Linked DNA regions of Struthio camelus. The protein of the gene in region 2 interacts with the protein of the main gene of each other region in a biochemical or structural test. Links are inferred from orthologs where the notes say so. Each region holds a gene or a part of one and is shown on either strand. Other genes may lie near its edges. The genes, in order: PFN1 and WASL.

What was found.
Region 1: the proteins of WASL (region 2) and PFN1 form a complex in vitro, tested with the Homo sapiens proteins (2 studies listed by BioGRID). The link is inferred for Struthio camelus from reciprocal best matches to the Homo sapiens genes WASL and PFN1.

What each region holds. Positions count from the first base shown.
Region 1 is NW_027182728.1:90,119-99,790, forward strand, and holds PFN1 (profilin-1), read left to right. Parts: upstream 1-5,421; 5' UTR 5,422-5,535; coding exon 5,536-5,667; intron 5,668-7,694; coding exon 7,695-7,887; intron 7,888-8,683; coding exon 8,684-8,781; 3' UTR 8,782-8,807; downstream 8,808-9,672. Other genes in the region: ENO3 (beta-enolase), read right to left, coding at 57-115, 585-680, 897-986, 1,405-1,462; E3 ubiquitin-protein ligase RNF167, read right to left, coding at 9,441-9,598. UniProt on the Homo sapiens protein: Binds to actin and affects the structure of the cytoskeleton. At high concentrations, profilin prevents the polymerization of actin, whereas it enhances it at low concentrations. By binding to PIP2, it inhibits the formation of IP3 and DG.
Region 2 is NC_090942.1:24,921,053-24,931,627, forward strand, and holds the start of WASL (actin nucleation-promoting factor WASL), read left to right. Parts: upstream 1-6,605; 5' UTR 6,606-7,075; coding exon 7,076-7,198; intron 7,199-8,364; exon of another isoform or gene 8,365-8,506; coding exon of another isoform or gene 8,507-8,587; intron 8,588-10,575. UniProt on the Homo sapiens protein: Regulates actin polymerization by stimulating the actin-nucleating activity of the Arp2/3 complex. Involved in various processes, such as mitosis and cytokinesis, via its role in the regulation of actin polymerization.

The DNA.
Region 1 (9,672 bases), on a different chromosome or scaffold from region 2:
GGATCTGGACTCCCCACCCTGGCCCCCACCCTGACCCCCACTCAGGCCACACTGACCTTCTCCACCAAGGCGGGTCCGATGGTCTTGTTGATGTGCTCCACTGCCTTCAGCACACCTGGGGGCACGGCGGGGGTTAGGGGGTGCGAGCCCCCACCCTGGGGTCCTCGTCACCCCACCCATGGGGGCAAATGGAGAGGGAGATGGGGGGCAGAGGGGAGCAGGGAGGGCAGGGATTCAGGGGGTCTTTGGAGGTCATTGGGTCTTGGGGGGATCCAGCTGGGTTTTGAGGGATCCAGTTGGGTCTTGGGGAGGTCGTTGGGTTTTGGGGCACCCAGAGGGGTCTTGGGGGGGATCGTTAGGTCTTGGGAGGCTCAGTGGGGTCTTGGGGGATCTAGTTGGGTCTTGGGGGACCCAGTTGGGTTTTGAGGGATCCGGCTGGGTTTTGAGGAGTTTGTCGGGCTTTGGGGGACTCATTTGGGTCTTGGAGGACCCGGCTGGGTCTTGGGGGGGATCGTTGGGTTTTGGGGGTCTCGGTTGGGTCTTGGGGGGGTTGCTGGGTCTTGGGGGGCCCTGTGGGGTCTCACCTTTGCCCAGGTAGCGGCTCTTGTCGCCATCGCGGAGCTCCAGGGCCTCGTGGATCCCCGTGGAGGCGCCGCTGGGGACGGCAGCGCGGAAGTGGCCTGGGGGGCTGGAGTGAGCCGGGGGGGGCCACAACCCCCCATGGGCCCCCTATGTCCCCCCCACATGCCCCCAGGCCCTCCCACATTCCCCCATGTCCCCCCAGGACCTCCTATGTCCCCCCATGTCCCACCAGCTACCTGCGTCCCACCCCCCCGTCCCCCCATGTCCCCCATGTCCCCCACCTCTGCCCGTGTCCCCCCGGCCCCGGCGCCCACCCTTGGCCGTGTGCAGGTCGACCTCCACCGTGGGGTTCCCGCGGGAGTCGAGGATCTCCCGCGCGTGGATCTTCTGGATGGACATGGCTGCTGGGGGGGGGTGGGGGCAGGCGTCAGGGCCAGGGGGACCCAGGCGTCCGGGCGCCCCCCGCAGCCACGCCGCCCCCCGCCACACCAGGGGGCCCAGGCGTCCGAGCGCCAGCTTTCCCTGCCCTTCTCCCCCCCACCGGGGGCCCAGGTGTCCGGGTGGCCCCGCTCTGCACTATAGACCCCACTGCCCTCAGGGCACCCAGGCGTCCGGGGGGGGCCCAGGCGTCCGGGTGGCCCCGCTCTGCACTATAGACCCCACTGCCCTCAGGGCACCCAGGCGTCCGGGGGGGGCCCAGGCGTCCGGGTGGCCCCGCTCTGCACTATAGACCCCGCTACCCCCAGGGGTCCCAGGCATCCGGGGGGTCCCAGGCGTCCGGGCACCCCACAGGGACCCAGGCGTCCGGGCGCTGCTGCTCACTGGTGCTGGTTGGGCTCCGAGTGACCCCGGGGGGTCCCCGAGGGCCTTTTATGCCCATCCCCTGCCCCCGCCTCCCCCAGGGACCATCTGCAAACGCGGGACCCAGGCGTCCAGGGCCCAGGCGTCCGGGTGGGCTCGCCCCTGCCCCACCCGCCAGGCCTGACTGCCCCCCCGGGGGCCCAGGCGTCCGGGGACCCCCGCTCTGCCCCGCTGCCCCCCCCAGGGGGTTCAGGTGTCCGGGGGGGCCCAGCTGCCCCCCTCCCCCACCAGGCTTCGCAGCCCCCAGGGGGCCCAGGCGTCCGGGCGCTGGTGGCCCTGGTGGCACTTTGCGATGGTCCCTGCCCCCCCCGGGCTATTTTTAGCCCCCCCCAAAGGTCGGAGCTCGAGGAAAGGACACGGTAACTCGAGACGCCCGGACGCCTGGGCCCCCGTGGGCTGGGAGCAGCCAGATGCCTGGGTCCCCCCGAGGCTGCCCGGACGCCTGGGTCCCTGGAGGATGTGGGGGGGGGAGCACCCGGATGCCTGGGTCCCCCTTGGGCTGGGGGCACCCGGACACCTGGGTCCCCCCGGGACTGGGGGTACCCGGACGCCTGGGTCCCCTGGAGTTGAGGCTGCCCGGACGCCTGGGTCCCTGGGCGACTCCTGGGCCCCACCGCACGGGGGCGCCCGGACACCTGGGTCCCTGGAGGATGGGGGGGGGGGAGCACCCGGACGCCTGGGTCCCTGGAGGATGGGGGGGGGGGGAGCCCCCGGACGCCTGGGTCCCTGGGGGGGGGAGGGGGACGCCTGGCGGCTGTGCTGGGAATGGCACCGGTCCTATGGGATCCATAGGGGATGGGGGGAGGGGAGGGGCCCTGCGGGGTCTATAGGGGCCGGGGCCCTATAGGGGAAACGGGAGGGGGGAGATGGGCCCCGTGGGGCCTATAGGGGACGTTGGGGGGGGGTCGGGCCCTATGGAGCCCATAGGGCAGGGGGAGGGGGAGGGGCCCCGGCTCCGCTCGCTGCTAAAAACCCACTTCCCGGGGAAGTTCCCACAGCGGGGCGGGGGCGGGGCGGGCCCGGACGCCTGGGCCCCGGGGGGGGCAGGGCCCCTGGACGCCTGGGCCCCCGGACGCCTGGGCCCCGGGGGGGGCCCCGGATGTCTGGGCCCCGGGGGGGGGCAGAGGGGCCCCCGGACGCCTGGGTCCCTCGGCCAGGACGAGCTGGTTTCCTGCCCCCCCCCCATTTCCCATGATGCCCCGGGTTGGCGTGAGCGGGGGAGGGGCCGCGGTGGCGACACTGCTGGGGGAAGTTCGCAGCGGGGGGGAGGGGCAGGCGCCCGGCTGCCTCCGACCCCCTGGTCCCCCGGACGCCTGGGTCCCCAGGCAGGCGCGGGGTCCAGGGCCCGCTGCCCGGACGCCTGGGTCCCCCGGACGCCGCCTGCCCCCAGCGCCGGCGCCTCGGCCCCCTCCCCCGCCCGGGACAGGAAGTGAAACCGCCGCCCCTCCCCCCCTCCCCCCCCCGGAAAGTCCCCGCCCGGGGCTGACTCAAAGCAGCCGGGAGATATGGGCCGATGCATGTGCGATCGCACACGCGTGTGCACGGGGCGGGGAGCGCGGCGGGGGGGCATCGCACGGGGGGGGGCGTTGCACCAGGAGTTGGTTTGCTCTGGGGTTGCGCTGTGCTGGGGGGCTCATGGCGCGAGGGGTGGGTTGCACCAGGGGTTGCAGTGCACGAGGGGTGCGTTGCACCGGGAGTTGGGTGCGTTGCACCAGGGGTTGCAGTGCACGAGGGGTGCGTTGCACCGGGAGTTGGGTGCGTTGCACCAGGGGTTGCATTGCACGAGGGGTGCGTTGCACCGGGAGTTGGGTGCGTTGCACCAGGGGTTGCATTGCACGAGGGGTGCGTTGCACCGGGAGTTGGGTGTGTTGCACCAGGGGTTGCAGTGCACGAGGGGTGCGTTGCACCGGGAATTGGGTGCGTTGCACCAGGGGTTGCATTGCACGAGGGGTGTGTTGCACCGGGAGTTGGGTGCGTTGCACCAGGGGTTGCAGTGCACGAGGGGTGCGTTGCACCGGGAATTGGGTGCGTTGCACCAGGGGTTGCAGTGCACGAGGGGTGCGTTGCACCGGGAGTTGGGTGCGTTGCACCAGGGGTTGCAGTGCACGAGGGGTGCGTTGCACCGGGAGTTGGGTGCGTTGCACCAGGGGTTGCACTGCACGAGGGGTGCGTTGCACCGGGAGTTGGGTGCGTTGCACCAGGGGTTGCACTGCACGAGGGGTGCGTTGCACCGGGAGTTGGGTGCGTTGCACCAGGGGTTGCATTGCACGAGGGGTGCGTTGCACCGGGAGTTGGGTGCGTTGCACCAGGGGTTGCAGTGCACGAGGGGTGTGTTGCACCGGGAGTTGGGTGCATTGCACCAGGGGTTGCAGTGCACGAGGGGTGCGTTGCACCGGGAGTTGGGTGCGTTGCACCAGGGGTTGCAGTGCACGAGGGGTGCGTTGCACCGGGAGTTGGGTGCGTTGCACCAGGGGTTGCATTGCACTGGGGCTGCACCACACGGGGGGCTGCATTGCACCGGGGGGGTGTCGCACAGGGGCCGAGGCGCCGCACGGCCTGTGCGTTGCTCCATGCTGGCACGAGGACACGCATGTCCGGGGGGCTGCGTGTGACACGGACACGGGGGTCCCGGCGCAGGGAGCTGGGGAGGGGGCCGCGAAGAGGTGCAACGCGCCACCGAGGGCGACGCCGGGGGGGCCGTGGCGGCAGGAAACGTGGGGTGTCACCCGCAGGGAGGGGCCGTGCAAAGGGGGGTGCGGAGGCCGGGGAGGGGTGCAAGGGGGGGGGCGACGTGCAGGGGCGTGCAAGGCGCGGTGATGCCCGCGGGTTGCACGGCACGAGGAGGGTGCAACGCACCCGGCTGCAAGGCCGGGGGGTGCGATGCACCCGCGGGTGCACACAGCACAAGGGTGCCGCACCCGGAGGGGCTGCTGGGGGGGGGGGGGGCGTGCGCACGTGTGCGTGCAACGCTCGAGGGGGGCGGGGGGGCGGGAGGGAGCTGCAGTGCCCAGATGTTGCGTGTGCGACGCCGGAGGGATGCAGTGCACGGGGATGCACTGACTGGTTTGCATGTGCAATCCCCGGGGGGGGGTGGGGGGTGCACATCTGTGCGTGCGTGTGCGCTTGTGTGTGCGTGTGCGTGTGTGCGCGTGTGTGTGTGCGCGTGTGTGTGTGCGCGTGTGTGTGCGCGTGTGTGTGTGTGCGTGTGTGTGTGTGCGTGTGTGTGTGTGTGTGCGCAGTGTCTGCACACGTGTGTGCACGTGCACGGTGCCCCGGGGATGCAACACAGGTGGATGCAACACCCGGGCTGTGCGTGTGCAGTGCACATGGATGCAATGCTGGGGGGGGCAGCGCTAGCAGGTGCAGTGCTGGGTGTGCAGTGCCCGGGGGGGGGGTGCAGCACCCGCTGTGCAGTGCCTGCGGTGCAGTGCCCATTATGCAGTGCCGGGGGGGGGGTGCAGTGTCGGGGGGGGGCAGTGTCTGAGGTGCAGCACCCGTCATACAGCGCCCCTTGTGCAGTGCCCGGGGGGGGGGGGGTGCAGTGCCCGGGGGGGGGGGTTGCAGTGCTGGGGGGGTGGGTGCAGTGCTGGGGGGGGGGGGTGTGCAGTGCCCGGGGGGGGGGGGGCAGCGCCGGGGGGGGGGGGAGTGCAGTGCCCGGGGGGGGGGGGAGTGCAGTGCCCCGGGGGGGGTTGCAGTGCGGGGGGGGGGGGGTTTGCAGTGCCGGGGGGGTTGCAGTGCCCGGGGGGGGCAGTGCTGGGGGGGGGGCAGCGCCTGTCGCCCAGCGCCCGCCGCTGCCCGGGGTCGCTCTGCCGCCGCCGCCGCCGCCGCCGCCGGGCGGGCTGGGGGGGGCGTGTCCCGCGGCGGCCCCGCCCCCTGCGGGCGAGCCCCGCCCCCTGCGGGCGAGCCCCGCCCCGCGGAAGCCCCGCCCCCGCCGCGCGGGGCTATGAAAGGCGGCGCGCGGCCCCGCCGCGGGGCCCCGTCTCGCGCCCGCCGCCCGCTCCGCGCACGCGCCGCCGCCGCCGCCGCCGGCCCCGCCCCCGCCGGCCCCGCCCCGCCCGCCCGGCCCGCGCCGCCGCCGCCGCCGCCGCCGCCATGAGCGGGTGGGCGCCCTACGTGGAGAGCCTCATGGCGGACGGCACCTGCCAGGACGCCGCCATCGTCGGCTACAAGGACACGCCGGCCGTCTGGGCCGCCACCCCCGGCAAGACCTTCGCCAACATCACGGTGGGGCCCGGGCGGCGGCGCCGCGGGGGGGCGGCGGCCGTTGGGGGCGATTCCGCGGCGGTCCCGGGGCGCGGGGTGTCCCCGGGCCCCCCCGCCGGCCCAGGCGTCCGGCCCCCCCCCCCGCCCGCCCGCGCCGCGGCCCCCCCGGGCCGGGGGTCGGGCCCGGCCCCTCCCCCCGCCGGCAGGAAGTGACCGGGGGGAGGGGGGGCCGGATCCTGCCCATCCCCCCCATCCCATCCCCTTCCCCCCCCCGGCCCCAATCGGGACAAAAAAGGGAGAAAAATGCGTCCGGGAGCGGCCCCGGCCGCTGCCAGCGTGGCCCGGCCCCCCCCGCCGCCGGGGAGGGGACCCAGGCGGCCGGGCCGCGCGGGGGGGCCCAGGCGCCCGGGCCGCCCCCCTTCCCCGCTCCAGCGGGGGGCCCGGGCGCCCTTTACCCCCTCCCCTTCCCCAGCCACCCCCGGTTTGGGGAAGGAGCCCCGGCGTCCGGGCTGCGGCGAGCACGTGGCGGAGGGGCTGCGGGGGGGCCCGGACGCCTGGGCCCTCTGCCCGCCCGCCGAGGGGTCGCCGGTGTCTCCCCCCTCCCCCCGCTGAGAAAAATGCGCGGAATGTGGCAACTTCCCCCCGGCGGGGGAGGGGCGGCCGGGGCTTCCTGTGGGGGAGGGGAGGGGGCGCCTGGGCCCCCCGGGGCGGCGGGCAGAGGGGTGCCCGGGCGCCTGGGCCCCTGGCGGAGGCTGAGGGAGCTCCCGGACGCCTGGGCCCCCGGCAGGGCGTTGGGTGGGGTCCGGGACGCCTGGGCCGGCGCGGCTGGGGATGCCCCGGACGCCTGGGTCCTGCCTGTGGAGGGTGCCGGGGCGGGCGCCCGGACGCCTGGGTCCCTGGAGGAGCTGGTGCTGGTCTGGGCTCTTGGGCGCCCCGGACGCCTGGGTCCCCGGGGGGGTGTCAGGGCGGCTCACGGTGCTGCCCCGGACGCCTGGGTCCCGAGGAGGGGTGTCAGGGCGGCTCACGGTGCTGCCCCGGACGCCTGGGTCCCGAGGAGGGGTGTCAGGGCGGGCTCACGGTGCTGCCCCGGACGCCTGGGTCCCCGGGGGGGTGTCAGGGCGGCTCACGGTGCTGCCCCGGACGCCTGGGTCCCGAGGAGGGGTGTCAGGGCGGGCTCACGGTGCTGCCCCGGACGCCTGGGTCCCGAGGAGGGGTGTCAGGGTGGCTCACGGTGCTGCCCCGGACGCCTGGGTCCCCGGGGGGGTGTCAGGGCGGGCTCACGGTGCTGCCCCGGACACCTGGGTCCCGAGGAGGGGTGTCAGGGCGGGCTCATGGTGCTGCCCCGGACGCCTGGGTCCCCAGAGGGGTGTCAGGGCAGGCTCACGGTGCTGCCCCGGACGCCTGGGTCCCGAGGAGGGGTGTCAGGGCGGGCTCACGGTGCTGCCCCGGACGCCTGGGTCCCCGGGGGGGTGTCAGGGCGGCTCACGGTGCTGCCCCGGACGCCTGGGTCCCGAGGAGGGGTGTCAGGGCGGGCTCACGGTGCTGCCCCGGACGCCTGGGTCCTGAGGAGGGGTGTCAGGGTGGCTCACGGTGCTGCCCCGGACGCCTGGGTCCCCGGGGGGGTGTCAGGGCGGCTCACGGTGCTGCCCCGGACGCCTGGGTCCCGAGGAGGGGTGTCAGGGTGGCTCACGGTGCTGCCCCGGACGCCTGGGTCCCGAGGAGGGGTGTCAGGGCAGGCTCATGGTGCTGCCCCGGACGCCTGGGTCCCAAGGAGGGGTGTCAGGGCGGCTCACGGTGCTGCCCCGGACGCCTGGGTCCCCGGGGGGGTGTCAGGGCGGGCTCATGGTGCTGCCCCGGACGCCTGGGTCCCCAGAGGGGTGTCAGGGCGGGCTCACGGTGCTGCCCCGGACGCCTGGGTCCCCGGGGGGGTGTCAGGGCGGCTCACGGTGCTGCCCCGGACGCCTGGGTCCCCGGGGGGGTGTCAGGGCGGGCCACGCCCCCCCGCCCGGACACCTGGGTCCCTGACGGCGGGGGTCGTGGCCCGGCAGGCGGCGGAGGTGAACGCGCTGGTGGGGAAGGACCGGAGCAGCCTGCTGGTGAACGGGCTGACGCTGGGCGGGCAGAAGTGCTCCGTCATCCGCGACTCGCTGCTGGTGGAGGGCGAGCACAGCATGGACCTGCGCACCAAGAGCGCCGCCGGCGCCCCCACCTTCAACATCACCGCCACCGTCACCAACAAGAGTGAGTGTCCGCCCGGGCCCCTCGCGTCCCCCCCGTGTGCGCTCTGCGCCCGCCCCGGGCACCTGGGCCCCTCGTGTCACCCCCACGTCCCCCCTGTGTGCGCTCTGCGCCCGCCCCGGGCACCTGGGCCCCTCGTGCCACCCCCACGTCCCCCCTGTGTGCGCTCTGCGCCCACCCTGGACACCTGGGCCCCTCACGCCAACCCCGTGTCCGCTCTGCACCCGCCCCGGGCACCTGGGCCCCTCGCGCCGCCCCCGTGTCCGCTCTGCGCCCACCCTGGACACCTGGGCCCCTCACGCCGCCCCCGTGTGCGCTCTGCACCCGCCCCGGGCACCTGGGCCCCTCACGCCAACCCCACGTTACCTCCGCATCTGCTCCACACCATGCCCGAACGCTTGGGCCCCTCTGTGCTGCCCCTGGGTCACCCCCGCACCTGCCCCGGACGCCTGGGTCCCTCCATCCTCCCTGCTGGGTGCTGGATCCCCTCCCCTCTGCTCGCTCCTCCTGGACGCCTGGGTCCCTTTCCCATCCCCTCCCCCCTCCCAGCTCCCTGTTGCTCTGTCCCCGGATGCCTGGGTCCCTGGGTCGCTTCCCCATCCCCCCCGGATGCCTGGGCCCCTCTGCCCCCCCAGCTGTTGTGAGAAGGGGCAGCTGTTCCCCTCGCGGAGCAGCTGCACCCGGACGCCTGGGCCCCCTTGCGGGGGGGGGGATGTGGGAGGGTTCCCGGTGGGCCGGGCCCCCCCATGGAGGGGTTTCCCGGACGCCTGGGCCCTGCTGACCCCCCCCCCCCCCGCAGCGATCGTGCTGGTGATGGGCAAGGAGGGCGTCCACGGCGGCTGCGTCAACAAGAAGTGCTACGAGATGGCGGCGCACCTGCGGCGCTCCCAGTACTGACCCAATAAAGGCTGCGGCACCCGCGGCACCCGCCTGCTGCTGCTGCGCCCGGACACCGGGGCCCGCGCCGCTGGGGGGGGGGGACGGGGACGCCTGGGCCTGCCCGGGGCAAAGTCCGGCCAGGCTGGAGCCAGCGTCACGGGGGATGGGAGGGGGGGACGGGGCACCCTTGGGTGCGTTGGGGAGAGCTGGGGGGTCCAGAGCACCTTTGGGTGCTGGAGCCAGATTGGGGGGTCCTGGAGGGTCCTCTGGGTGCTGGAGCTGGGCTGGGCTGGTGGAGCTGGGTGGGGGGTCCTGGAGGGTCCTCTGGGTGCTGGAGCTGGTCTGGGGCCCAGGGACCAGCTCGAGCCCTGGGTTTGGGGTCCCGGAGCCCCTTGGGCTGCTGGGGCAGGACAGGGGGGTCCCAGAGGTGGTTCAAGGTGCTGGAGCCCCTTTGGGTGCTGGAGGGGTCTGGGGTGCTGGGGACCGGCTCAGCTGGGGCGTCCCGGACCCCCCTTGGGTGCTGGAGCCGGGGGCGAGTTCGGGCGGCAGGTTCGAGCGATGCTGGAGCCCCGCTCGGGTGCCGGGGGCGTCCGGGGTGCGGTGCCTCCCCCCGATCCCCGAGAGGAGCCGGAGCCGGGTTGGCCACGAGCCTTTATTGGGGGGCCCCGGCGTCCGCGTCAGACGGGGGCGGGGGGCAGCAGCGGGGTGCGCTCGGAGGCGCCCGTGTCGCCCTGGGGCGCCGGCTCCTCGGTGCCCGGCGGCACCCGCTGCTTGCACACGGGGCAGGTGCGGCGGGTGCGCGTCAGCCAGGGGTCCACGCAGCGGCTGTGGAAGGCTGCGGGGGCGGGGGCGGTCAGGGGGCCCAGGTGTCCGGGAGGGACCCAGGCGTCCCCCTGCCCCGCCCCGGCG
Region 2 (10,575 bases):
TCAGATTCTAGCATACAGAATCAATATTTACTCAGTTATGGTTAGTTTTAAGAGGCAGATATCTGTGGATGTTTGCCTCCAAGTTTAATATTTTCTCCCTCTGGATCAGCCACGGGATTCTCATAAGCATGTACAAGGCACCTAGACATCAGATCTATACAGGGCTTCTAGCACTACTGTACTACACAGACAGCAGTATTGCAGTAACTAAAAGATAAAACATTTAGATCAATTCTCATAGAACAAATTAGCAACTTCATCTCCTTCACGGTATTTTGAGTTGTCAAGCATGAACAAAGTAGTGGATATTCACATAAAGCACTAATATCATTTGTACGTGCCATCTCAACGTACTATAGGAAAAGTACTTAATTGAAAGCAGTAATAGGGTAGCCATGAAAATAGCAATTAGAATAACTTGGTTGCCTGGTGTTAAAATTCTTCTAGATATCTCTAAGGTCTTAAAGAAATTTGATTATCTTTATTTACTAGGATACATTCAAAAGTGAAGATTTATTTTTAGACCTACTTATCTCTGAGGTGAAACAAGTGGACAGACTGCAGATTTTCTTGCTAATGTATCACACACGCACTAGTGGCAGTCAACTGACTGTACAGTTTTGAAAAAATAGATGGTTTTCATCTGTCTTCTCAAGACAGTTTGCTGTATGTTCAATTTTATTTTTGGTCATTTATTTCTTAAAGCTCCTACAGCATATATTTGTTAAGTTTCTGTATTTGTTAAACAGATTCTCTTTTGTCCTATAAAAACAATACAGGTCAGCGCACCAGTGGTTCTAAGTGGCCTGGAGCTGATATAAGCAATCTCCCTGAACACAAAAATCAGGCTAATCAAGATATGCACATTCTCAATCTTGCTTTATGAGGTGGAGCCATAAATCTTCAAGAATACTGATGCATAAAGACAGCATAAAGACTGCTTTTTTTTTTTTTTTTAAATATTTGCATCAAATAGCAACACCACACAGAAGCAAGGCTATTAAAAACGTACTAACACTACAGTGACAGTTTGATACAACAATGAAACCTCAAGGCTGAACATATCCATTGGATGAAGGATGACCTTGTGATAGGGATCTTGATCCTTGGTCTAATGGATGGCAGGAGAACAAGAACTGGCCTGGGCAGGAAGCAAGTGTCTCAGTGATTCCACAAAACAGGGCAGTAAAGATCTGATACTGTAAGCCCTAGTAGAAGACAGAATCCCAAAAGGAATCAGAGTACAGTTCATGCCTATCCCTTATGGTTGTTATATGCTGGATACAGAATTAAAAAAAAATAGAGAAAAACTACATGAAAACCATCCACCCAGATCCGCATTGCAATTGTCACTGAATTACAATACCTATTTGACAGTTGTTCAGTGACCTATTGGGAGTAAAGTACCCATCTCAAGCCAACTCGTAGAGGGTACATACTTATGTCATATTTAGTACTTCCAGTAAAAACGGCAGATTTTGAATGTACTTGACTGTGCTACCCTCATCTCAGTAAAGATGAGGCTTCCTGGCAAGGACCAAGCAGATTGTGAAGGGCGTTCAGTCACGCTGCAAAGAAGAACTGAGTTTTCAAAGCCAGAGCAAGCGTTCTGTCATCAATGGAATCTGCTGTAGCAACATATTTGCAGATTGCAGTGAAGGAAAGAACATGCTTTCCTTTTTCCTTTTTTTTTTTTTTTTTTTTGAAGGGGTGAGGTTCTTGAGTGCTATGGTGGCTGATTCATGGTTGAAGCGAGATTTCATTACACTGAATTTAAAAGCTGTCAGGAAACTCAGAGGAAGGAATAAATGTTCCTTTCAACATCTGTGGATAAATAAAATAAACTCATCTACTCCATTCATATTTATCACTGGGTGTAAAACTCAGAAATCATACCTCTGCTAAGGTAAAAACCAAGCACAGAGAATAAAAACAGTGTCCCAACAAACCTTGTGGATATAGAGTTTTTGGAGATGAGCTTTGATGCAAGGATAGATTCTAGCTAAGCTTGGGAAAGAAAAATGTTTTCCTCTGATTTGCAGAGCGGCTACAGAAATGTGCCACAGTTTCTGCAGCCAGCGATCAGCATACCTGTATAACAGAGAATTATTAAGAGGAGAGATAGGATGTTTCAGATACTAGTATGTGTTTTGGTCTGTCTTCTCCACAGCCCTGAAAAGGAGGATAATACAGTCCAATGAAGGAAGCAGAAAGGAGCTCTTGAAAAGAGCTAGGTCTCCCCCTGACTGATTTCACAGTTAAAACAATACCGCCGAAACCTTGCACCAGTATATCCAAAATATGATTCTTCATCCAAAGCAAAATCAATGTTATCCTTTGGTAAGCAGGACGGAAGGACACAAATTCTTCTCCTTCACCTTAAAGTCAACAGTCCGATATTGAAAATGAGAAGAAAGGATACAGCAACCAGAAAGAAATGAGTAACAGGCAATACAGGGAAAGAAAAATTCTAGCTAGTACCCAAGGCAGCATTTATGCAATGAATGAAAGAACTTACTGTCCTGCTATGTCGGTTCTCAGGCTTTAGCCTGCTCATTCCAGTGGCAAGGACGCTCTTCTGCGTGGCTGGCCCACAAAAGGAAACGATTCTTCCTACTAACCCTACAGGTTCATACGCATAAGGAATTATCAGAGGCTTTGCTGGATGATTAAAATAAAACTTAACTGCCAACTTTGCAACTTCTGTGGCTACTTCATGTCCTTCCGTGCCTGAAATGTTTAGTATATAAATTCAATAAATAGGAAAAAAAACAAATATAGACTCCTGGCTCTGTTTATTCCAGACTATTCCCTCCCCCCACTCCTGAACAAATAATCAAATATAAAATCTCTGTGAGAAAGGAAATACAGTAACTGCATCTGAAACTAACCATAAATTAACAGATGATTCAGTTACTTCCAGAGTAGGCTGAGATTCTTAAGCACTTAAAGGTTCAGTGCACAGAGAGCAGAAGCGAATGAACTTCTTTTCAGTATAATAACTAATATGCTATTTATATTGATTCAGTAACAATCTGAAACCAATTCTCTTAGATGAGTTCTATGTTGAGAGAAAAAAAAAAAGTGGTTTACTTAAAAAAGGGAACTTGTATCTTCACAAATCAAACATTATTTTCAACCACAATGAGAGTTCCTTTTTTTTGGTTACCACAAGTGGTTTTGCAGTAAATGGACCAGCGAACTCTACAGGCACAACCAAAAAGGGTGCTCAAGGAAACAAGGTCTTCTTTCCTTTTGCCCAGACTTTTACTATCCTGTTGACATACCCCTTAAACGTGGTGACAGTAATCATACATTCTTACTTCTCTTCTCCCCCCAGCCATATTTATGTGGTCACTGCAACGATGTAGGCACTTGTACTATGCTGTTCCACTTCTCATTGAATATAAAATGGAAGAGAGACGACAATATTTTTTTCCTATTGAGATCTTCATTCCTCTTTAAGCCTGCTTATTCTTCGTGTAATCAACCACCAAAGACTGCGTGACCTAAATTCAGTACTGGGACAAAATCAAGACTTGGAAAATGCAGTGCCACTACTAAAAATAAACAGACAAAATCCTTGGTGAACTGCTTCCGAGTGGAAACATTTCATCTCTTTCATTTAGATAATTAATTGTTATGTTTTAGAATGTGACCCTCACAAAACCTTTAAAATATGCTATGATTCACAGTGCTAGAAAGATCAACCTTAGGTAGAATGCTTTCCTCTCTTTTTTGCTTTTATTATTTTCAATTGCAGAATTTTATTTCTGAAATTGTATAAATACGTAAATTCTGAAATTCAAAGCACGCGACTTCAGAATAGTTATAGTATTCAACTTGTGCTTGTGACAAACTGTTGAAAAATGTAGACGTCCATATGTAAGGGTAGAATTCAGAGACATATATTTCTGTCAAAGGTATGTTTGACAAGGATAATAATTGTTTATTAAATAGTTGTTTACAATATAAACCTTTAAAATCATTACACTTGCTTATATCAATAGATGTATGTCACTTTCAACGTAGCTCAGTACCTTGGGACTATGAGCTGGTATTTTAACAATTTTGAAAGAAAAATACAAATGAGCATCAGGCTGCCGCAAAGCTTGTAGGAGTCAGCAGTGGGCAACGCAGTTTCAACCTTAGGGACTACAGTGAGAAATTCAGAGCAAAGCCTATGATAAAGGACAGCAATTTCTCTAAGACAGGTCAGCCAGAACACTGCAATTTCTTTCAAAGATAGCCAGGTAATTCTGGTTTGTGGCTTTGCTTAAAAGAACTTTCCTTGAAATTGGATGTGTTACGCAGAAATAGCAGCTCTTTGCTGGTATTACTGCTAATGTAAATATCAAAGGCAAAAATCTATTTTTCAGTGGGTCCCTTGGACTTACGACCAACTATTGATATTTCCATTTCACTTCAGGACTCACTCTTTTGCCATGATATAAAAACAGAAATGGCTTTTGCATAATTAATGAAACACAGCAGTTGAAAATAGTCCCCCCTTCCCACCCCCCCCTTCCTGTCTACCCTTAGTAAAAAAAGCAAACAAAATCCTAACAACAGAGTCTGGTTAAAGGGCCCTTAAGAATAGCTACTGGCCAGCTGGTCTGAGAAGAACACTCACTATGAAGCAAAAAGTATCACCAGTAACAATAAAACTTTATCTGGATGCAAAGATCCATACAACAAGGAATAAACAGTTAACATGAACAAAAATGAGAAAAACATCACTAAACTTAACGGGTCAAGGTGAGGAAAGTACCTATCAGAGGCCTACCATATTTTTAATTCAGCTATTTACATTGTGACCACCAATACAAGTACATACATTTCCTTGGAAAGGGTTTTGGCTATAAAATAACTCATTGCTTTATGAAACAAAAAACAAGTGCCTTGTAAAGTAGTTCATATCTGTTATCTTTTCACATACGTTCTCAATGAACGAAATGCTGCCAAAATTCTAATACACTTCAACTAAAATATTTCCCTTTCCACTAAAATACATTCTAAGTCTGGATACACTTACACGGAAAAGGAATTAAAACTGAATAATAACCTATTATTGCTGAAATGTATGTTGTAAGCATTTGGGTCCTATTCAGTGTTTTTCCTTTATAACAAAGGCCCTAGCCACTTACATGACATCTGCACATTGAGGAATGCTGTATATGCCTTTATTTTAACCTTTTGTACTGGAGGCTCAGGATTTTCCCCCATACATTTCCCCTTCCTCACACTTTCAAACACTGTTACAGGCTCTTTTAAGTAAGGGGAAAAGGGCCTAGAAGCAGTGCAGAAGGGTTTGCCATTTGTTCCCGCCTGATCTTTTGGAAGATGTGAAGGAAAGTCAGCACAACTGCGTACCAAGATTTGTGCTCACACGTTCTCCTCCTGTGCTTGTTTTTTTTTTTTTTTTAATACAAAGTAAATCATCACAGGAAGACTGGTTTGGCATTTTCCAGATGCACAACAAATTTATCAGAGAGGATGAAGTCAACCTATTCTTCGCTTAAAAATACTGAGAGAACTAGCAGGGTGCTCACTTGGACATCTGGCTTTCACCTTCATACTGGGAGGAGCATGAGCACTTCTCCTGCGGAGCTGCAAGTCGGCCTGGGCAGCGGGCAGCTGTGCTCTGGACTGCAGGGCTTGGAAAGGTCTTCAGCTCCATCCTGGCTAGCAACTACTGCACGGAGAGAGGCAGAGGGAACAGAAACCTAGCTGGCAAAGCATACCGACTGCGTACGCAGCTCCTCTGCGCTGACCCCCTGGAAAGCCTAAGTACCTGCTACTATTTCTACTTGCTATTTTACCTCAGACTGCAAAAGCCTGTGTTTAGGAGGGTAGAGTCTCGCACACCCCCTCCTACGTCTCTGTGTGACCGAGCACGGAGGAGCTGCCTCTGCGCAGCAAAGGCTGCAGGAATTACCCACCCCGCGCAACACAGCTTGGAACAGCAAAACTGACTGGATGATTTGCCAGATAAGCCATCAGGAAACATTTTCCTTTCAATAACAAACATTCAAAGGATTTTTGAGTTATAAATTAACTCACATTTGACTAAAAATTTAACAGGAATTCAACCCTGGCCTTCTAACACGCTCTTCATCACCTCCATCCTCAAAGCACTGCACGAAGCCAACCACACTGCGCGCTCACGTTGGTAACGAACTTAAGCAAAAACGACAACGGCGGAGGGGGGGGGTTTCACCACGAACGCTTTTTATGCCCTGTCCCGTTCCGGGTGACTTTTGAGTACGGGCCCGAATTTTTCTGACACGTTTTCCTCACACGGGTGGGCAGCGGCGGCTACCTCGCCGCCTCAGCCCCCGCCACCGCTCCCCGTCCGGCCCGGCCGCCGCCTCGCCGCCAGCCTGGATTCCGCTCCGGGCCCAGCGGCCGGGCGCGCTCCTCCCGGCCCCGGCCCCGGCCCCGGCCCCGGCCCCGGCCCCGGCCCCCTCCGCCAGCAGCCGCCGAGCCGAGCCGGCCCGGCAGGTATTGAGGGGGGAGGGCGCGGGGCGGCCCCCGCCAGCTGCGTGAGCCAGCGCGGCCCGCCCAGGGGCTGCCGGCCGGGGCGGGGCGGAGCAGGGCGGGACGGGACGGGACGGGACGGCAGGCGGCGGGTCCCCGCACCGCGCATGGTAGCGGCGGCGGCGGCGGCAGCAGCGCGCTCGCCGGCCTCCCCTCTGGCTGCCGCGCGCTGTGGTCTCGCCCGCCCCCGCTGCCATGTTGGATTGTGCGGCCGCCGGAGCCGGGCCGAAGTTGGAAGTTTAGTGGCCGCCGCGGGGGTGGGCGCGATCCGCCGGCGGCGGCGGGGCGGCCCGACGCCTCCTCTCTCCCCTCCCCTCCCCCGCGGGCCGCCGGCAGCTCGCCGAGGCCCGGCCGCCGCTCTCCCCCCGCCCCCTCCCGCCTTCCCCGGCCCCGAGAGGGAGGCTCCGCGATGCGGCTGCCGTGAGGCCGCGGCGGCCAGGAGCAGGACGAGGAGGAGGGGGCGGCCGCGGGCGCCGACGGTCGCAGCGCGGCGAGGGCAGTGCCGAGCCCCGCGGGGCCGGCGCCGGCGCCGGCCATGAGCGGCAGCCAGCAGCAGCAGCAGCCCCCGCAGCCGCGGCGGGTCAGCAACGTGGGCTCCCTGCTGCTGACCCCGCAGGAGAACGAGAGCCTCTTCACCTTCCTCGGCAAGAAATGCGTGGTGAGCCCCGCGGGGAGCGGCGCGGCGGGGGGGGGACCGGGCCCGGCCCGGGGCCGGGGCCGTGTGAGGACAGGCGGGGGACCGCGTCCGGGACCTTGTCCGCCCTCGCCTCGCCTCGCCTGGCCGGCCCGTACGCGGCTCCCAGCCCGGAAGTTTCTCCCCGGCCCAGCCGCCTTCCGCGTCGCCGGCGCCCGGGCGGGGGACGGCGCTGCAGGCCCGGCCTCCGCGCCCGCCTGGCCCAGGAGCTGCGGCCTCGCGCGGGGCCGGCGGCGGAGGAGGCGGAGGAGGAGGAGGGCTGCGGGCGGCAATGAATGAGGCGAGCGTGGCGCTGCCGCCGCCGCCGGCAGGGGAGAGGAGAGGAGGGAAGGGGAGGCCGCGCCGCCCGCAGGTGGCGGGGCCTCGCCCGCGCTGCCGCGGCCAGAGGGGGCCGCTTCCCGCAAGCGCTGCGCCGCGCCGGGCCCGGCCCGGCCCCCTGCCCGTGCGGGAGCCGTGCGCGCTGCGGGGGCGCCGGGCTGGGCCGCTCCGGGCCTGGCGCCGCCGCGGGCTGCGCGGGGCCGCTCGGCGCCGGCCGTTTCTCCGGGCGGCCCTCTGGAGCGGCGCCGGCAGCCGTGCCCAGCGCCTGCCCGGCCTGTCCTGCGGGGGGCGGCGGCGGCGAGCCCCCTCGCCTCTGCCCCGCGACCAGCCTGCGGTTTGGCCGAGGGGACGGGGCAGCCATGGAGCTGCTGCAGCAGCACTCGGTGGAAGAGTTTAATTGCCTGACGAGGCTGACATGAGTCCCGGTTGCACCTGTGGTACAACAAAGCAATACTGACAAAGTTGGAGGAAGGCTCGTGTGGGTACTAGGCCTGCCTTGGATGTAGCCTGTGCTTTTGTTAGCCTGATCAACAGGCTTGCATCTTTAGCTGCAACTTCAATACTGCGTTACTCCCTGTCAAAAAAGAAATGCGATATCAAGATTAAAAAAGGGGTGGGGGGGGGGAAAGGTGTAGTAGATGTGTTCCCAAGTTCATCAGTAAGTTCTTAGTTTCTTGAATAGCTTCTTGCCTATTAATATAATGTAGTTATGAAGTATAGTTTTAATATAATTTTCAGAGCTTCAGGAGTTAACTGCATATATTTTTTCCTAAAGGACTTATCATTTTTCAAATTATCTTTTTGAAGCCATTTTAAATGATGCTATCCTGATGTTTTCTGATACTTCACGTCCAGTGCCTAGAACAGCAACGTTAGGCACCTACACCTTCTTGTGGCACTATTTTAAAGCAGGATATCGGTGTCATCATAATACATAACCCTGTGGACTTTGAAATGGTGCTGTTGATCAAACCGGTTGTTGCAAGGAAGGAAAGAGATATAACCGAACAGGAAATGGGTGATGTTTGCATTGGGGTGAGTTAAGTAACATGAGGTTATCATAATTAAGTTGCTGCCATTTTCAGATGGGTCAGAAAGCGTGATTGTGAAATATGTAAAAAGAGACTTATGCTAAAAAGTAATACATTTGTAAGAAACACCTTTATCTCACTACTTGAATTACTTTCAGGCACACATTTCATGCATTTCATTCCATTACAAGAAAAAAAGTAAACTGTTGTCTATATTAAAAGGAAGCACATGAATTTGTGTGCTTCAGTTGATTTCCAGTTGTTTTTTCTGTGGCTTAGATTTTCTTGTCAAGGGAATGTGTCTGTTTTTGTTATGTATGCTCAGCTGTAACGCTCATCTTAAGTTTTTGAAATGTGTTATTTATGGGGATAAGTTAAACCGGCCTCAAGGTAAACAACTTCATAGTGTCTGGATGATGTGTGGTTTGTGACATGTTGATAGCTTTATAGATACAGGGTTTTTTTGTTTTTTGGTTTTTTTTTGAGACTACACATTCTTGCCATTTAGTCTGAATCTTGAATGACTTTCTAACTGAGAATTTCTTTTTATTATTTTTTTTTAATTATGGCCACCCCCTTTACCCTTCTTCTCCTGCCCTATATGTTTTCTAGCTTAAGGTCAGGCATCTTACTGTAATTGAGGGTCTATATCATATGCTTGAGGACTTGGGTCCAGAAGACTATCAAAGATAGTACTCTAGACTTCTTGGCTTTCTTTAGCATGCTGAGGCAAAATTGTGGCAATTCAGAAACTACTTTGTGAACAAATTGAACACCTCTATCCCAGGGACAGCAGTGGATAGGTACCTGGGGATGATAACAGCTTCGACTTTCCAATTTGAATCCATCAAGTCTGACAGAGCTGTATGGTACTCTGTATACCGTTGATCTTCTAATTTGAGTACAACTCAGTGTCAGTGTGCTATGCTATTTTTTTGTTTGTTTGTTTGTTCTTTACTATAACATTATATTTGATATTTTAGTAATATCCATGTTTGGAATTAGTCATTATTGAAGCTTTAGACAGTAAATATTACTAGTAAACAAAAATTTTGCAAGTTTCACAGGATGTTAAAAGTTTATTTTGACTTGGGCGGAATTGACTGTGCTACCTGGCTACTGCAGGTGGTATTTGCATCAGTTTGGACGTGGATATGCTACCGGATGTGAAGAGTAATAAACTGAGAAAACTGCTTTTAAAATGCATTGAGCATAATACAATTGTATTTGTCAAAGCCAAAATACAAGTTGCAATAATCATTGAGATAAAAGAGAATAAAAAACTGAATGGGAGCCTTAGTTCTTAATTGGTAAGACGTAAAGATTTTTATCGGGAAAGAGCCCGTAAGACTTCTTGTGCGTATGAAAACAGCATGAACTAAGACTTAAAGGCAGCTTGCAAACCAACAGACAAGTTTATGTGACTGTGAAGTATTTCAGTTGTGCTTATGCTGCTGGCTGTGCATCCATAAAGGTATCCGAAAGGTTGAGGTCCTAGCCTGAATAGGAGGCATTTCTAGGAGAGAGAAGAAGTAGTGAATCACCAGTTTAGAAGTGGTAGTTATCTCATTTAGAAACATACAAAGAGATGAGATGCAGAGGGGGAAGACAAAGCATAAAGGATAAGGCCCTGTAGGAGGCAGGAATATTAAGAGTTACATACACGTTTCTTTTGAGGTCTTTGTCATGTTTTATCAAAAGGCATACAACTTCTTTGTATGCCTCATTAATATCCAGTGGAGTAATTTCTCTAAACAACTTGTTAGCGATCATCTTCCCTTCTAGACAGAATCTCATTGGTTTTTTTTTTTTTTTTTGGTGACAGTTCCTTTGAACTAAACTTGTGCCTACAAAACTGATTCCTCACAGGAAGAGGTCAAATTGGACTCTTTGCAGCAAGTGGCTTAGCCATTGTCCTTAAACTGCTTTCATGCATCTACAATAGGGTTACTTATCATAAAATATTTCATGCTTATTTTCCTCATAGCTTGC